Linked DNA regions of Struthio camelus. The protein of the gene in region 2 interacts with the protein of the main gene of each other region in a pairwise test. Links are inferred from orthologs where the notes say so. Each region holds a gene or a part of one and is shown on either strand. Other genes may lie near its edges.

Region 1 (7,725 bases), on a different chromosome or scaffold from region 2:
TGTGCAGAGTAAATTTCCTTATTTTAACAACATATATAGAGAATAAATAAATAAAAACTTGCCTAAAGTTTAATATTACTATTAACAATGGGCCCAGTCACAGCAGATGAATGACTGCCTTAGCAAAGATTTTGTGTTGAATCCTCCTCTGGTATGTGTGGTTACCTACTACCTTCAGTGATAATTCACCTGACTGCAGAACTATATATATTGCATATATACATGCATATGTAAAAAATACACATTTAAGAACAGTTCTAAAAACTCTTCTTTCTTAGGCATGGGCAGGCTTTTCCTCAATACTTGCCTGTGCGGTTTTATTTTATAATGTTTCCAATAATTACACTTACAGCCATTGCAAGAAAAGCTTAATCTTTGCATATCTGCTTGGGTAGAATCAAAGGGAGTGACACTCCCAAACATTCAAGTACACTTATGTCGGCACAGTTTGTATACTCTACCTTAAATATTAGAAACTGCAGTATCAGGTGCATCATCATGAACACACTGTGATGAGGCAGTAATCACGAATTTCCTATGAGTTCAAGCATGCATTATTATGGATTATTCTTTGAAGGTAACTGCTTGTGGCATAATTCCTTGTAAACAACTCATTTCCATATAAACCACCTACTTAAGAAAAGGCACCTCCTTGCTCAGGTCTCAAAACACCTTTCAAAGACCATTCACGAAATTATTCTTTGATATTCACAAAACACAATGCTGTCCAGAAAATCAGTTGCAGTTCCTTTAGAAAAGAACAGCAAAACCCCTCTTAAGCATTCTCATCTGCTAGCCTGCATAGAAAAGATTAAAACTTGGACTCCCAAGATGTTACCTTATTCTGCCTAAGTGGCAAAACAGCAAAAACATCATGCTTCACTGATTTATAATAACAACTGGATGGGAAACCCACCTTTTCAGTCTTTTCCATTCAATCCTCTGACATATTTGCAGGCATCTTGCTTCCTCCTCCCTGTAGTAGATAGCATTGCTTAACCTCCCCCATCCCAGAAATACCAGTGCTTCTGACACGCTTTCCTGTCTAAAACACTTTTCCATCTCCACTCTGTGACTAGTATGACCTATGTCAAACTCTCACACTTTCCAATGAACTTATATCATGTGACTTATGAAAATTTAGTTGTGGTTATGCACAATTTACATATATGCAAATATTTAAACATCAGGACCTGAAAAATCAGGGAATAGCCTTGCATATCATCTATTAAATGCTTATAGTCTACCTTACTAAGATTTATGGATTTGATCAAAAGCCTGAAATGTAAACATTTTACAAAGTACTGAAAAGTTGCAATCATATACCAAGATAAAGAATAAATTATCAAAATTACACATTTTTACTTTGCTGAAAAAATGTAAGACAAAATCCTCCAAGGAAAGCAAATCCACTTCAAATGTATTTCAATCACAGTCACAAAAGACTATGCTGCTTGTTTCTCAATAGCTGGGGAGTATAAACTCCACTATGGCACATAAGAGGAAAACGGCAGCCTACAATCTAATTAGCCTTCATTATAATACTGTTCAGAGATTCAACAGATATGCCTTTTAAAAGGACACATGCACAAAGGACCCACCCACAAAGGAGTTAAGTTTCCTTTCAGAGGTCTAGAAATGCTAAACAAAGAAGAGCCTTTGCTAGGAAGAAGCTTGGCTGAGCCTGGAATGTTAGCTAACCTGTCTTGAAAGAAGAAAATGGGGAACAAAAGTGTTTACATATTCTGCTTCACTTAAAATTTCACCTTAGTTTACAAGGCTGGGTGAATGTTTTTCTTCATGCAAGGCTAGGATTTTCTGTGAGCTTTACTGACGTCTCTGTGGAAGAGCGGAGAGTAGAATTGAAGAAGCATTCAAAATAGGGCTCTCAAAATGGGTAGTTTTTCCCTTTTTAAAAAGTTTTAAGGATGCTGAAACTCTGCAAGATGTGTAACCACATGTGACTTGAAGGATAACTGGGAATGGCAATTAGTAAGTGATGTTCAGTGAGTACTGTTTGTGGTGACACGTTAGCAACGTTCAGGTGATCCAAGGAGTGAGTTCCCCTACACAGCAGCAGGAGGTTGCAGTTAGAACAGTAGAAGACATAAACTGTCTAAGAATTAGACAACCCAAAGAACTCCATGTCGGAGGCTGACTGCAAGATATGAGCATGTACATGCATATGTTTGTAATCAGTCATGCTGTAGTGGCCCACATGGAGCCTGTTTTTAAAAGCTTATAAAGCTCAAGTCCAGCGAGAACTGCGTACTAAGAGTGCCTCTACACTAGCATTATAGTTCAGATCAACAACGCACTTTAGAAGTAAATCTACTGATCATCTGCACTCATACTGTTCTGCTTTGGTTCATATCATGATATAGGCTTAGAATGCAAGCTGGATTCCATCTGGATAAAAACAAAAGCAGAAGATATACTCTAGGCGTTCACTTAACGCACTCCAGCCATTAATGAGCATTTAGTCCACAGGTCCAGGTAAGAACTAATCTGCAGTAAAGCCCCTTGCAATACACACAGCACAGACATCAGATTCCTAGCAGCAACTGGTGTACTCCATAGATCCATTTGTACTGGGGCACGCTATTAACCTTATTTGTCTGGTCTTCTATGTATTGTAGGCCACAACGTTTTATCCAGATACCTCTAATGCTGAACATTAAGTCTTCAATGAAACTGAACTCTTTTGATCTGTAAGACTAAAATACATACCACAGACAACAGAAAGGTCTGAATGCCTAATGTGCTTGCTGTGGCTGTAAACTGATAGGTAAGATAACCTAACGATCTAGCACGAAACTCATGCTCCACGCTCCTAGAGGATTCTTTGTGCGTGCCTGAAATACAATTCCTCCCCATAAGCAAATAACTTAAATTGTGCTAATTTCTTTTAGGATAGGTGCTGGCACGTGTTCCCCTAAACAATCCTTCATTTTTTCAGAACTTGAACACGGTAGATACCTGATTAAGAGGTCTTGTGTCTATGTGACGAATAAAAGTAGGGAACACATTGCAGAATCATTGATTCTTTTTGCCTTCCAGTATCATAATTATGATAAAGCCACTTCTTGTTCAAATATTTATTGCAAAGGACAGATGTATGGAGACGTTGTTTAGAAGTCATTTGTGTAATTCAAGCCCCAATATCACTGCTACTTAGTGTTTTTCCTTCTAAAATAACTTTTCCAGCTGGTGGAGCAATTAAACTAACTCTCAAGTCAAACACTTTAAGAACCTATCCTTTTTAGGGTGAAGAAGTCCAAGCACAAGACCTCCTTAACTGCAGCTGCTTATAACACCAACAATCCCTTCAGTGGTCAAACCTCTGCTGACGGAAGAAGCTCTCATTCATTGCCCTTAGACAAAGGCAGGTATCAATACTAAACCCTGAAATTACACCAGTGCTCACTTATCCAGGTATTGTCTTTCACTTGATTTCTCTTTCATGAGTTCTTTCAGTGTCCTTCTACTTATTTTATTTGCTCCTGGAATAATGAAACAGGAGGTGGTTGGTCTCAAGGCCCCCTCAGAACATGACTGGCACTGCAATTCAAGTCCTTCCTGTTCCAAGACTAGCTGTTTCTGCTGGTAAGTGCATTTTTGGCCTTCTCAGGGAGAAGGCAGCCATCACGAGTCAGAGCTGAGGGCATGAACCTTCCTAATGACCTCCTGGTCACTGGGAAATTATTACAAAGAGGTTAGTTACAACCAGTAACAGCACAGATATCGCACCCAACATTTTAATACTGGGATAATGAGGCCACAACTCCAGGTGTTTGCAAGTATTAGGAAGCACACCTCTAGCAATTGTTTGTGTGTACGTGTGTTGGATATAAGCAAAACAAGTGGGAGGCTTGCTGCTAAGAGACATGAAAGACTTGAGGGTTCCTCAAAAGTATACACAAAAGGATTGTGAACGGTTCTCAACACACAGCAGAGGTCATATGAACCAAGAGCATACCATAACTGTGGAGTTACAGCTCAACCGGTGTTTATCAGGTGGGCTCGCTTGTGCGTTTGCTCGGCCACAACTGTCTGCGCCTCCCCCCACACACCACCGCTGCCACTGCCGCCGCCTGCTCGCACCGAGGGCCGTTGGGGGTGACACCTGCTCTAACCGCCGCCGCGCGCTGCCACCCCGCAGCGGATTGGCTGAGGCGCGGTCAGCTGACCGCGCCAAAGACCCCGCCTGCCGCCGGCTTGCTGCAACGGCTGCTGGGCAACGGCCGCTGGGCCCTCTCCCCCCCCACGGGCGGGCAGGCAGCGGCGGGGGGGGGGGGTGCAGTCGCCCCAGGAGCGCGTATGCGAAACAGCAGTTCATTGCACAGTAATTACAAAACGTAATTGCAGGTGGGAAGGATAGCGCCTGAATTTTCCTTTTTTTTTTTTTTTTTTTGTTTCTAGTTGGGAAATGAACGCGGGCCGCCAAGCGCTGACAGGGGTTTCTTTTACCACGCGCAAGTTCGCAAATACGCGCATTCCTTCCCGGCTGGGCGAGCACGCCTGAGGGACGCGCGTCCCTGGCGGGAGGGCCGTGTCCCCCCCCGGCCGCCCCCGGACCCACCTGCCACCGCAGGCCCCGCGGGGCAGCGGCAGCGCAGGCGGGCGGGCCTGGCCCCGCGGCCCCTCGGCAAGCGCACGGCTCCGGCCCGGCGACGGAGCCGCGGCTCGGGAGCGCGCCGACACGAGCAATAGCGCCGGCTCCGCCGCTCGCCGCCGCCTGCACCGCTCCCCCCCGCCCCCGCTCCTCCCCGCCGCAGCCGCCGGCCGCCTCGGCCCCGGCAGGACACCCGCTGCCGCACAGCGCGGCCGCTCCGCTCCACCCCGGCCGGGGCGCGGGGGCACACACTCATAGACACACACGCACGGAAGCGCAGCCCGACCGCCGCCGCGGAGGCCGGCCCTGCAGACACACACACACACGGAAGCCGGCCCTGCGCAGCGTGCAACATGGCGCTGGTGCCCTGCCAGGTGCTGCGCGCCGCCATCCTCCTGTCCTATTGCTCCATCCTGTGCAATTTCAAGGCCATTGACATGCCCGCGCATCAGACCTATGGAGGCAGCTGGAAATTTCTGACCTTCATAGACCTGGTAAGTCGTTCCCCCCCTCACCCCGTCTCGCCCCGGCCCCCTGCCCCCTCCGCCAGGCCGCCCGCCCAACGGCCGCCGCCGTCGCCGCGCGCGTGGGCGGGCCCGGCCGCTCGCGGCCCCCCGGCGCGGCCGCCCCGCTCGACGGCAGCGCCATGAGGTGACCTGAAAGCGGGACGGCGACATGTTGTGACTCCCGGGCCGGCCGTTGAGAGGAGCCGGTCGGAGACGACGGCCGCGGAACCGGGTGGTTTGGAAGGAGAAAGACACGGACAAAGCCGAGGAGCTGTTGTGTGCAAGCGGGCCGCGGCGGCACGGAGCCCGGTGGGCAAAGTGCGCCCGCCGCCCGGTCACAGCAATACTTCTCCCGTGTTTCACCCTTTTTTTTAAGGGATGACAGCAAACACCAGAACCTGCTGGTCCCAGTATTTGGCTCCAGCCTCCTCAAGCGTGCTGTCAAAGTAGAAAACATGCCTTGTTCCCTTTGGCCCACCAGAGGAATCGTTGCCCAGCAGGTGCTAGTGCGAGAGCAACACAAAACCCATTAGGCGACTCAGCTTGCCTGATCCAGTTAGCTTTGGTTCCAAACTCATAAACCGATCTATTAAACCAAAGATGTTTCTTTTCACCTTTCTTCATAAGGATTCAGATCTTGAACTGTCATGTGTGTAAGTCCACTGGGAACCACCTAGTGCTGCAGCTGAACCTTGCTGGTCAAGGGCTATTCTTGCCCCCAGTTTCATAGCCTTACCGCTTCAGTAACAGTGTTGCTTCTAGCGTACTTGGGAGAGGGGGTGGGAGGAAAAGAGGAAATGGCAGGAGACAGCTGGTTCCCGATTCAGAAATAAAATAACAACTTTCACCTTGCACCTCGACCAAAGCACTTTTTTTTCTATGAATCCACAGTATAATTAAAAAATACATTTTGTAGTTCCCACTGAGTTACAGAAAGTCTGAAAAAGTCTCTGTTTCGGTGATCCCTGATGATAAAACGTTTCTCAGTATCCCATTCTTATTTCACAAATATTGCTGCATTAACTGCCTACACACTTAATACCCAGTTAGTAGGTCGAGTTTGTGAATTTGAGTAGGTCAGGGGTGCAAATTTCTATGTCAGAATTAAGATAAGGTTCATTGAGCTCCTTTTTTTTTTTTTAGAGAAAAGAAACAACAACCATATTTTTTATTTAACCAAGGCTAGTTTTTTTGTTGGGTGCAAAAAATTATCTGGACCTTTGAGGATCATAGCCATTAGTGGCGCTTTTACTGCCATTGTAAAAAGGTGTCTTAAGGCCTGGATTTTTTCTGGAATGCAAACTAATGCCTAAGTTTGGTTATTTTTCCTTCTGGGCTGCTGAACAGTACCATCAGTGATACTGATTGATAGAGGTTAGAGTCAAATCCCATTAAGTTAGGGCAGAACTGTTGACTTCAGCGACAGTTGAATTGGATGTGAACCAACTAAAGTTAAAGCCGATGACCTTGTACTTGAGTCTCTTTCACGTTTTTCTCTGTTTTATATAGTTCTGACAGTCCCTGGAGGATTAAGTGAACTAAGGCTGTTTGTCATGCATTGAAAGTAACATTTGACAGTGCATGATATTATTTCCCAAGAAATTACAATCTGCTGTCTATGACAAGTTCATGTGGACTTTCCCGCCAAAGCATACACATGGGTCAGACTACTTCTGACATGGCCCAGAAGGTCAAGTAAATATGTAATGCTTTCTAAAACAAGGACTGGAACAGTTATCAACTCTAATTAGTCACTTCTGTCCTTTAGGTCATAGATGTCATGTGTTACCCATAGTCAAGTCTGATAGTCGAGAAAAGGTTAATAGTTCCTAATAGTCTAGATTCCTTCTGAATAGTGGTCACAACTACTTGAATGCCTTTCTTGGTGCCTAGCCAGAAAATTGCACTCTCCACTTGTTAACAATATTTAATTGTGTCCAAATACCTCTGGTAGCATCTTACCTAAGCAGATCTGTCTTTATGTCCTCTGGGACAACTGGGAGACTTCGCGAAACAAAATCCTGTTAGATTCCTGAGGAGGATTCCAGGAGTGGTTGGAGGATGCTAGGCACGCTTCCAAAATACTCTGTTAGCTAAGTCTTAAAAAGCTCGTCCATAAGTTTCAATTTCCTCAACCATGTGTCGTGTTCCTGTGTCAGTCATATTCAAAGTCTGTCTAGACAAAATATCAGCAATGCCAGAGTCTTGTCAGACGTGTGTTCTTGCTGCAGATTGTACCTCCACAAGCAGAGATTTCATCTTTAACATCACAGAGGCACGTAGACGTTCTTTCAGTTTCCAAAAAATGCTACCAGTTTTTGTGAAAGTGAGTTTATTAATTGATTGTGAAAACTAATATGGAATTTTTTCCATGTATCCAGTTGTAATGGTACATTCCACTCTCAGCATCAATGAGTGCCTCAGAGATTTAGATAGCTGGCTTTGCACAGGTGCTGTTTAGTTATTTGTGTGTAACATAATTTTGAATCAAATTATGAAAAACTAATCTAAACTCATATGAAACTCTAAAAACTCTAAAACTCCTTTAAAGTAAAGCACAAGACATAGCAAAATGTTCTAGATCTACGCATTAGTATGAACACT
Region 2 (7,861 bases):
AGAAAAAAAAAAGGACAGGTTTCTTACCACGACAGTAAAGGAGAAACAGAACCAACTGGAAACTCCTGCAGAAGAGGTGGAAATTAAAAGCCCCTTTTCCCCCTAGGAGTTGCCTTTAAATAATGGGTACTGGATTGGCATCGTGATCTTTGCCTCTCCCAAGTAATCTGCCTAGATTACTACAATCTTAAAGACAAGAAAGGGTTAGAAATACTTACTCCTTTAACATGTCCTCGTAACACGTTCTGAAAAGAAAACACAATGAGAAGTTCAGTAAGAAAAGTGGAATTACTGAATGGTAACCCATGTGGACAGAAAGGAGGAGAAAAGCACACAGCTATCCCCAAACCAGAAGTCAAAAATATCCTGGGTTAAAGTGGAAAGAAGGCCTCTCAGGAAAAGTGTTTGGTATTTAGGCAAAATCATGAGACAAAGCACGTTTAATGCCTTTCTGATGTCTTGAAAAGTAAGATGAAAGAACAGAGTCGGCAATACAACAATGTTGGTTTGGTTACAGTTCGCTGAAAAAAAAGGCTGTGATGCATCACAGGATAACTTCAAGATGGACAGGAATCAAAGGAAGGTTCAATTTGGGGAGGCCTGACATTGTCAAACGTGGAGGCCGTTAAATCAGCTCACAGAGGCAAAGGGGAAAACCAAGAAAGCCAACACAGCAACAAGAAGCTGTTTCTGTAGGACACTGCACAAAGGAAAAACATCACGTCAAGGCTACACTGGGAGCAGGATGGAAGGGAAACCCATGGCCTTCTTGTAATTACTCCTCCAGAGGCACCCAGCGCTGTATATTACCACACCATAAAATCCTGACAGAGCGGGCAGTTTTTGTAGAGAAACAAAGCATTCAGTGCTCCTGGTGGCTGTGTAAGGAGAAAATTTAAGACTTAATGCATGAACTGGCACCAGCCTCTTAAACCCATTGTGCAACTGCTTTCTGCACCAAGAAGAGATTTCTCTATGGGATTCTTTAGATTTCAGTAACAGAAGGAAATTCAACATAGGAAAACTCAAAATAAACAGGAAACAGGCCCCTCCACCAACAAGATTTACTGGACTTTGGAAGAAAGCTATCCTTTCTGAAGGAAGCACTTTCTGATGAAATACAGGCTGTCTCCTACTACCTGGGTCCCTTAGAAACCAGCTGTAATAACTCAGACCAACCAGGCCTGTCGTAGCGCTGAGACAACAGCACACACAACGCAGTAGGTACTCTCAACGCTCAAATTTCTGAAATACTTTACCTGTGAAGAAGGTGACCACATGGCAGAACATGAGCTCCAACACGAGACGTGTGAATGTCCTGTTTCAAGACAAATAGTACACAAAAGAACCATTAACTACAAACACAGCAAGAAGCACAAGCAAACACAATTTTAAGAGAGTTGAATAGAAGCAGCTCACCTCCAAACATATTGGACAATCTTGCCTGGAGACGTTTTCGATGCACTTTACAAAAACAAAGAAAAGTTATTCTACTGCACAGATAGCTGCATTTTTAAAGTCTAAAATTCCTTTAGAATAAATAAAGAGGTATAAGCCTTACTCTGTTCATTTAGGGTTGAAATTCTGAGAATTAACAACTACTCTAGTCTAATAAAAAAAAAAAAAACTAGCTTGAAATAACATGCAAGAAATTGTTTCCAGGGCCCTCACAACCATAGATAGCCTAGCTCTTCCTATACTACAGCAGAAACAGCAGCTCAAACAGATGTGTTGCTGTGTCTGCAGTGAAGGCAGAGAAGAACATGACTGATATTTATATATCCTGTAGCTCAAAGCCCACCCAGGAGCATTCTGTGTTGCTGTTCAGGAAAGACGCATTTAGAGAAGGAGGAGAGAGCCTGCCGCTTCCCCAATCTGTATAGCCTTAGATCAACTCGAGGCACTTCTGACTGCAGGAAAAACATTTTTGTTTTGTTTGTTTAAAAATGACAAAGTGGTATATTCTCACCTTGTGTTTCCCTCGAAGACTCAAACTTAGGCATAAATTACACTTTGAACAGTGGAAGAAATCTTCCTTCGGGCCGATCCTAAGGAGACAAGGCCCAGTCAAGAACAGCTTAGGACTTTGCACGGCTCTGCTTTGTTTTCCACCCAAACGCTCCCCAAGTGACAGAAGCCTAATTCCCAAGCCAAGTTACCTACGGAACAGCCGTAATTCGTACGGACTGCAGACAAGCTCTCGTTCTTAGCAACGTTTTGCCACGACTGAAGTAAAACACGGGCCTGCTTAGACTGCAAAGAACAAGCGCAAGCCTCTGCCGAGCCGACCGCAGCTCCAGGCTCCGGTGCCTTTTACCCGCAGGAGGCGCCCGACGGCAACAGCCCGGCCACAAGCGCCGGGCTCCGGAAAGCCGTTTTTTTTTTTTTGCCCCGTTTCCCCCCGGAGCAGCCCGCCCGCACCTGCAGATGCCGCACTCGGCGCAGTGGTACTGCTTCTTGTCGCGGTCGAAGAGATGGCAGATGCCGCAGTAGTACTCCCCAAAGAGGCTGTGGCAGCCCTCGCAGCTCTGCTGCGCCTGCCGCCGCCGCGCCGGCCCGGGGAGGGGAAAGGAAGCGAAGAGAAAGCAAAGGAGACGACCGTTAGGCACGCGGCGCCGCCGCCCAACATGGCGGCCGCACCCCCCCCCGAAATGGCGGCCCCCACCCCCCAACATGGCGGCCCCCGCGCCGCTGCCGCCATGGCGGCCGCCGCGGGCCGTGCCCACCTTCTGCAGGCGGCGGCAGCGGGCGCACTGCACCTCCGCCACGCGGAAGCGGTCCAGGCGGTGGCCCTCGGCGCCGTCGTGGCACAGCCGGCAGGCGTACAGCTTCCCGCAGCACGGCGCCTGCAACGAGACGGGACACCTCAGCAGGCGGCGACCAGCCCTCCGAGGCGGCGTGGCCGCCACCGCGCCCCCGGTTGCTGCTGCTGCTGCTGCTGCGGCGCCCGCCCCGCCGCCTCACCCGGAGCAGGCAACCGCGGCGGTAATGCTCGCAACCCTCCTCGCCGCCCGCCGCCATGGCCGCGCACTGCCGCTCCCCCCCCCCCCCAGCAGTGGCCCCGCCCCCGCGCTTCCGCCCCCCACTTCCGCCTTCGCCGGGGGACGGGGCCGGCGCCTGCGCACACGGCCCCTGGTAGGCACGTGGTAGAGAGGGGTGTGTGTGATGCGTGTCGACGCGGTGCGGGGATCTATCCGTATTCACACGCGCGGTATGGGTGCACGCATGCGCCTCTCTATACGTGCGGATGCCTTCACAGCGATGCAGCTCTGTGCATATACCCAGAGGCACAGACAGCTGTGGCACCTGTCCAAAAGGAGCCTCCTTCTGCCCTCTTCTGTTCCAGAAAGGAAGAGGAGGGTTTTGGGGGAAAAGGCCCATCAAAGGCTTCCCTCAGGCTGCTGAGATTTCCGATTGCCTCTGCTTTGCTGCGGCACTGGAGCCCAGGTGGCTGCCGGCTTCCCTAAAGGAAGGGAAGGTGAGGAAGCGCGACGTATGCATTTTCAACAAGCAAGAGCAGGGATTCATGGCAAACGCTCCCGTGAAAATGCCATAAACCAGGGACCTGTGCTTCTCGAGGCTTAGCTTTTTAATAGGGATTTTTTAGGCAGGCCTTAGCTACTGAAAAATAATCAAAAAATATTTGGAGTAAGCCCCCAGTTTCTGGCTCCAGGGTCCCAGTTTCCTTACCTGAAATGGGCAGCTTTGGTCCAGGCAGGATAACAAGTCAAGCTTTATGTCATCTCATAGGAAAAGAGAATTGTAAAGCTCGTTGCTTCCTAGAAATGCAATTCTGGGGCTACGGGCATGCTAAAGTTCTTGCAACTTCGGTGTCTTCTTCCAAAAGCCGCAGGCGTAGGTCTGCCACAGGGCACCGCAAGGAGGCAGGAGCTCTACAGAGCTCCCTCAGTCAGGGAGACTATCAGGGTGAGTTTCCTTAAGGCTGCGTTAAAGGGGTTTCAGATCATGTTTGCTTTTTATTTTTGCCATGGGTGCATTAAATGTGCTTATCACATAGCTAACTGCACGCTTCTTTTTGCACAAAGTGAAAGACAGAAGCACGCATTTTTTCTAAAAAATATAAACCCAGTGTACGAGTGCGGCATGTAGGACATTTAATGGCACAGCTGCTAGTTAAAGTAAATCAACTCATCATCTCTAATTAATAATTTTTAGTTTGAATCTAGTGTGAACGCACTTACCAAACCACAGGGTGTACAAAAACAAGATGGGGCAATAGTGGTTGCTTTCTGCTACACACTGTTTCAGCAGTGAGCAGCAGCAGCAATTTGTAATAATCACAGAATAGCTGGGGTTGGAAGGTATCTCTCCTCCAACCCCCTGCTGAAGCAGGGTCACTTCAAGCCGGTTGCCCAGGACCATGTCCAGTCAGGTTTTGAATACCTCCAGGGACGGAGACACCACAACCTCTCTGGGCAACCTGTGCCAGTGTCCAACCACTCTCAGAGGAAAGTGGTGCCTTTTTTTAATTTTATTTTATTTTAAACAAACAAGCTATCCGGAGGGGACTTCCTGTATTTCAATTTGCACCTATTGCCTCTCGTCCTGTCACTGGGTACCACTGAGAAGAGTCTGGCTCCATCTTTACATCTAATCATCATTTGCCCTTTGATGTGTTTAATTCCCCCCCTGACCCTAGGCATCTAAAATGATGCAGAGAAGAGGAACCTGTGCTTGTAGATGGTTACAAAACAATCGTATCTCAGCTGTTAAATAAAAAATGATCCAAAAATCCTCTCTCTTTTCCAGTGCAGGCAATGCTACCAGCACAAATAAGCAGATATAATACCAAGTTTGAACCCAGAGAAGACTTGAGTCACCACAACCTTACATTTGCAAACACACACTAGCAGCCAGGAGTTTAGAATTTGAATATCCTTTTATTTACAAAATTTAAATATACATGTCAGAACATAGCATAGCCACAAAGATCTAAATATGATGACACCCACACTGCCATGGTATGCTGATGGGAAAGGCCCTGCTCTGTGGAATGACAACACAGTTCCAAAGCTAACTGCACCAGACAGGGGTTTGAGCTGCAACAACAGCATTGAGCTGCCAAAGAACAGCGTCGAGAGCAACACAGGGACACCATAGGCTGACTAAAGTCAACTTGAGAACAGTTAAATAAAAATGGTCTTGTAACTGTCCAAAGGTAAGACTGATCTGTTCTTTTTCTCCCCACACTCCACTGTCGAGTTTCCAGTTACATGTCCCATTTCCCCCCCCCCCCGCCTGATATACTTAAAAGGACGGATGAATTGAATGAGTTACCAACCACTCCTCTGAAGCCATTTCACATGCGACTTGCTCCACAGCTCAACGTGTTATACCGATAACTCTTCCTTCAGCATTAACAGGAGTCACACATGCACTCAAGTGCAGCCAGTCAACAGGCCCAGTTAAACGTCTAGAAACAACTGCCCAAAAGCTGGAGAGGGAGAGTATCCAGGGAAAAGGACCCTAACACAACTGCACGCACGCTCCTGAGCGTTAGCAAGGGTTTCAAAGGAACCGTTAGGAACATTTGTATGTTTAACAATATCTTTCTTCCACAAACATTTCCCATGGACATTTTTGCCAAGACAAAGATGCTTTCCAATACAGACCAGATAGCTCACCAAAATATAACAAATTCAGCAGCTCTCATATTCTCATTGAATAACACCCTCTCAAGAGAGCAGTAGTTAGACAAAAGGAAACCCCCGCTTTCTTCAAAAATCCTCCAAGCCAACTTCTGCCCCTGTCACCCACCAATAAACCACCACTTCTTTCTGAGCAACTTCAGTCAAGACTTGGCCCTAAGCCAGGAAGTCAACATCTCAGGAACTGTTTCACATGCAAGAAATCCAGCAGCAACGGCAATGAGAGCTCTGTCCTTGGACTCAGTCTGAGCCACGCCCCATGGCAGTCCACTGTGCTAACAAGAGAGTTAAGGGATTCTCCTCTCTTCCGCAGAAACCATGCGGCATTAGCACCTGGAGACTCAGCTGGACTGTTCCCACTCTTTCAGCCACCTGCATCAAGAGGAGAAAGACAGGGTGACGTTACAGACGGGCAAACAAGCACAGGGGCATTCCATGGCAATATGCTTCCTTTACTTCTGTTTAGTGTGTGTCCTTACCTCCCTAAAGTTGTGTTTCAGAGATGAGCCAACCTCAGTAACGTTTCTTTTTCCCCCATTTATATTGTCAGGATTGCTTCCCACCCCAATAATTTTTCTTCTTCCTTCCTAATAGCACTAAGCTATTGCATCACTTGAATTCAAGTGCCAAAAACACTCATGTGGGTTAAGAGCCAGTGCATCTGTACACAAGACTAAAAATAGATTTCAGAGCAGACAGTTGCTCCATCTCCTCAAAAAGGAGGACACATACAGGAGCCCAAAATATAAAACTACAACGCACAATTTGCACTCGCACATTAACAGTACTCCTATGGCATACAAACAGCTATCTGTAGCAAAACATTTAAAAACAGCTCCAGTGAAACCAGGTAAGGCCAAAGGGAAGCTGAAGTGCCTGGTGGTCTCTGTGGCCACAGTGAGAGTCACCTCGGGGCATGTAGGTGATCACATCCAAGCCAGAGCATTGAGTACAGCCCATCCATGCATGACGCAGAGCTCCAACGGAGCCAGTGAGATTTTGGAGCACTGCCTCTGAGGACCCTTCCAAAACACCTTGCCTCCTTCCACTGCTCCTCCGTTATCCTCTCTAACTTCTGCTCCCTCTGCAAGGCGCTGTTCTTCTGTCCAGCCTCAGTGAGCTGAGCAAGATGGGTGCTTATGAGAGTACAAATCCTCTCAAAGCAAAGCACTGCAGTTCTCACTTTCAAGACAAATTAGAGAAACTCCCAGCACATGCAACCGACTGCCAAGTAGATGCTCAGCTATTACAGCAACAAGAGAACAATACCCCAACAGAAGAAACTCAGCCTTTTCTATGACTTTTCTTTCAGACAAAACCACCTACAGAACCACATTTCTTTTCATGGGCAAAGTTAGAGTCTATTAAAAAAAAAAAAATCACATTTAAGACTGCCTGCCTAAAACAACCTAGAATATAGGATATAATTCTAAGTGAAAGTCCAGAGTGGTAGACTTCAAACTTCACACTTCAATCTTAAGACATCTATTACAGTCATGACTTCTCCAAAGCCTCCTTCTCTCCCAGACCCCTACGTCATGCTTGGAGAGCACTGAGCTACCAACAGCTAAACTAATACATTTTAATGGAGTAAAATTGCATGATATAGTTATTAAAAGTCTTCCATGAGTTAAACTTAACAGGTCCCCAAAGTGCTTTTCTCTCTTTTGCAAGTCCATTTTCTGTGGTGCACTTAAAAGTGCTGTGCATATAACCCATTCCTTCACCCCTCACATGCAGCCAGCCGGTTTTCCTTCTTTGTCACTCCATTAGCTTCCTCAGCCTCCAAATCCATGAGGTGATTAATCCCAACATCAATGCCCAGCACCTCAGCTCGGGAAAACCATTTACTCGCCCTGCAATGTGCCATGGCGCATTTCAGAATCAGGGAAGAGTTCCGTGCTGCCCTCTAAAAAAAACCTGTCCTAGCCAGGTATCCGTGACCCAGAGTGTGAAGCATAAAAGAACACTCCCAGCGCAACTCCCAACTAGCATGAGCGTTCATCAAATGATCCATTTGAAAGACACTAGAAGGCTAAGCTGCATAAATTAAAGCCTACGTTTTAGAGGCAGGTGTAATCCCATTCTCCTTCAGGTTAATGCTCGACTCTGGGGAAGCTGGCTTCTGATGCATCGGATATCAAGGTCCCCGATAGCTGTAAATTGGGTAGGAAGAACAAGGAGAGGGTCAG

The links.
Region 1: the proteins of RCHY1 (region 2) and AIG1 interact in binary tests that used the Homo sapiens proteins (3 or more experiments, as listed by UniProt). The link is inferred for Struthio camelus from reciprocal best matches to the Homo sapiens genes RCHY1 and AIG1.

The regions. Positions count from the first base shown.
Region 1 is NC_090944.1:76,799,674-76,807,398, forward strand, and holds the start of AIG1 (androgen-induced gene 1 protein), read left to right. Parts: upstream 1-4,625; 5' UTR 4,626-4,968; coding exon 4,969-5,109; intron 5,110-7,725. UniProt on the Homo sapiens protein: Hydrolyzes bioactive fatty-acid esters of hydroxy-fatty acids (FAHFAs), but not other major classes of lipids. Show a preference for FAHFAs with branching distal from the carboxylate head group of the lipids.
Region 2 is NC_090945.1:5,684,493-5,692,353, reverse strand, and holds the start of RCHY1 (RING finger and CHY zinc finger domain-containing protein 1), read right to left. Parts: upstream 3,072-7,861; 5' UTR 3,022-3,071; coding exon 2,965-3,021; intron 2,847-2,964; coding exon 2,727-2,846; intron 2,538-2,726; coding exon 2,422-2,537; intron 2,049-2,421; coding exon 1,970-2,048; intron 1,465-1,969; coding exon 1,420-1,464; intron 1,319-1,419; coding exon 1,260-1,318; intron 246-1,259; coding exon 219-245; intron 1-218. Other genes in the region: CDKL2 (cyclin-dependent kinase-like 2), read right to left, coding at 7,766-7,825. UniProt on the Homo sapiens protein: E3 ubiquitin-protein ligase that mediates ubiquitination of target proteins, including p53/TP53, TP73, HDAC1 and CDKN1B. Mediates ubiquitination and degradation of p53/TP53; preferentially acts on tetrameric p53/TP53.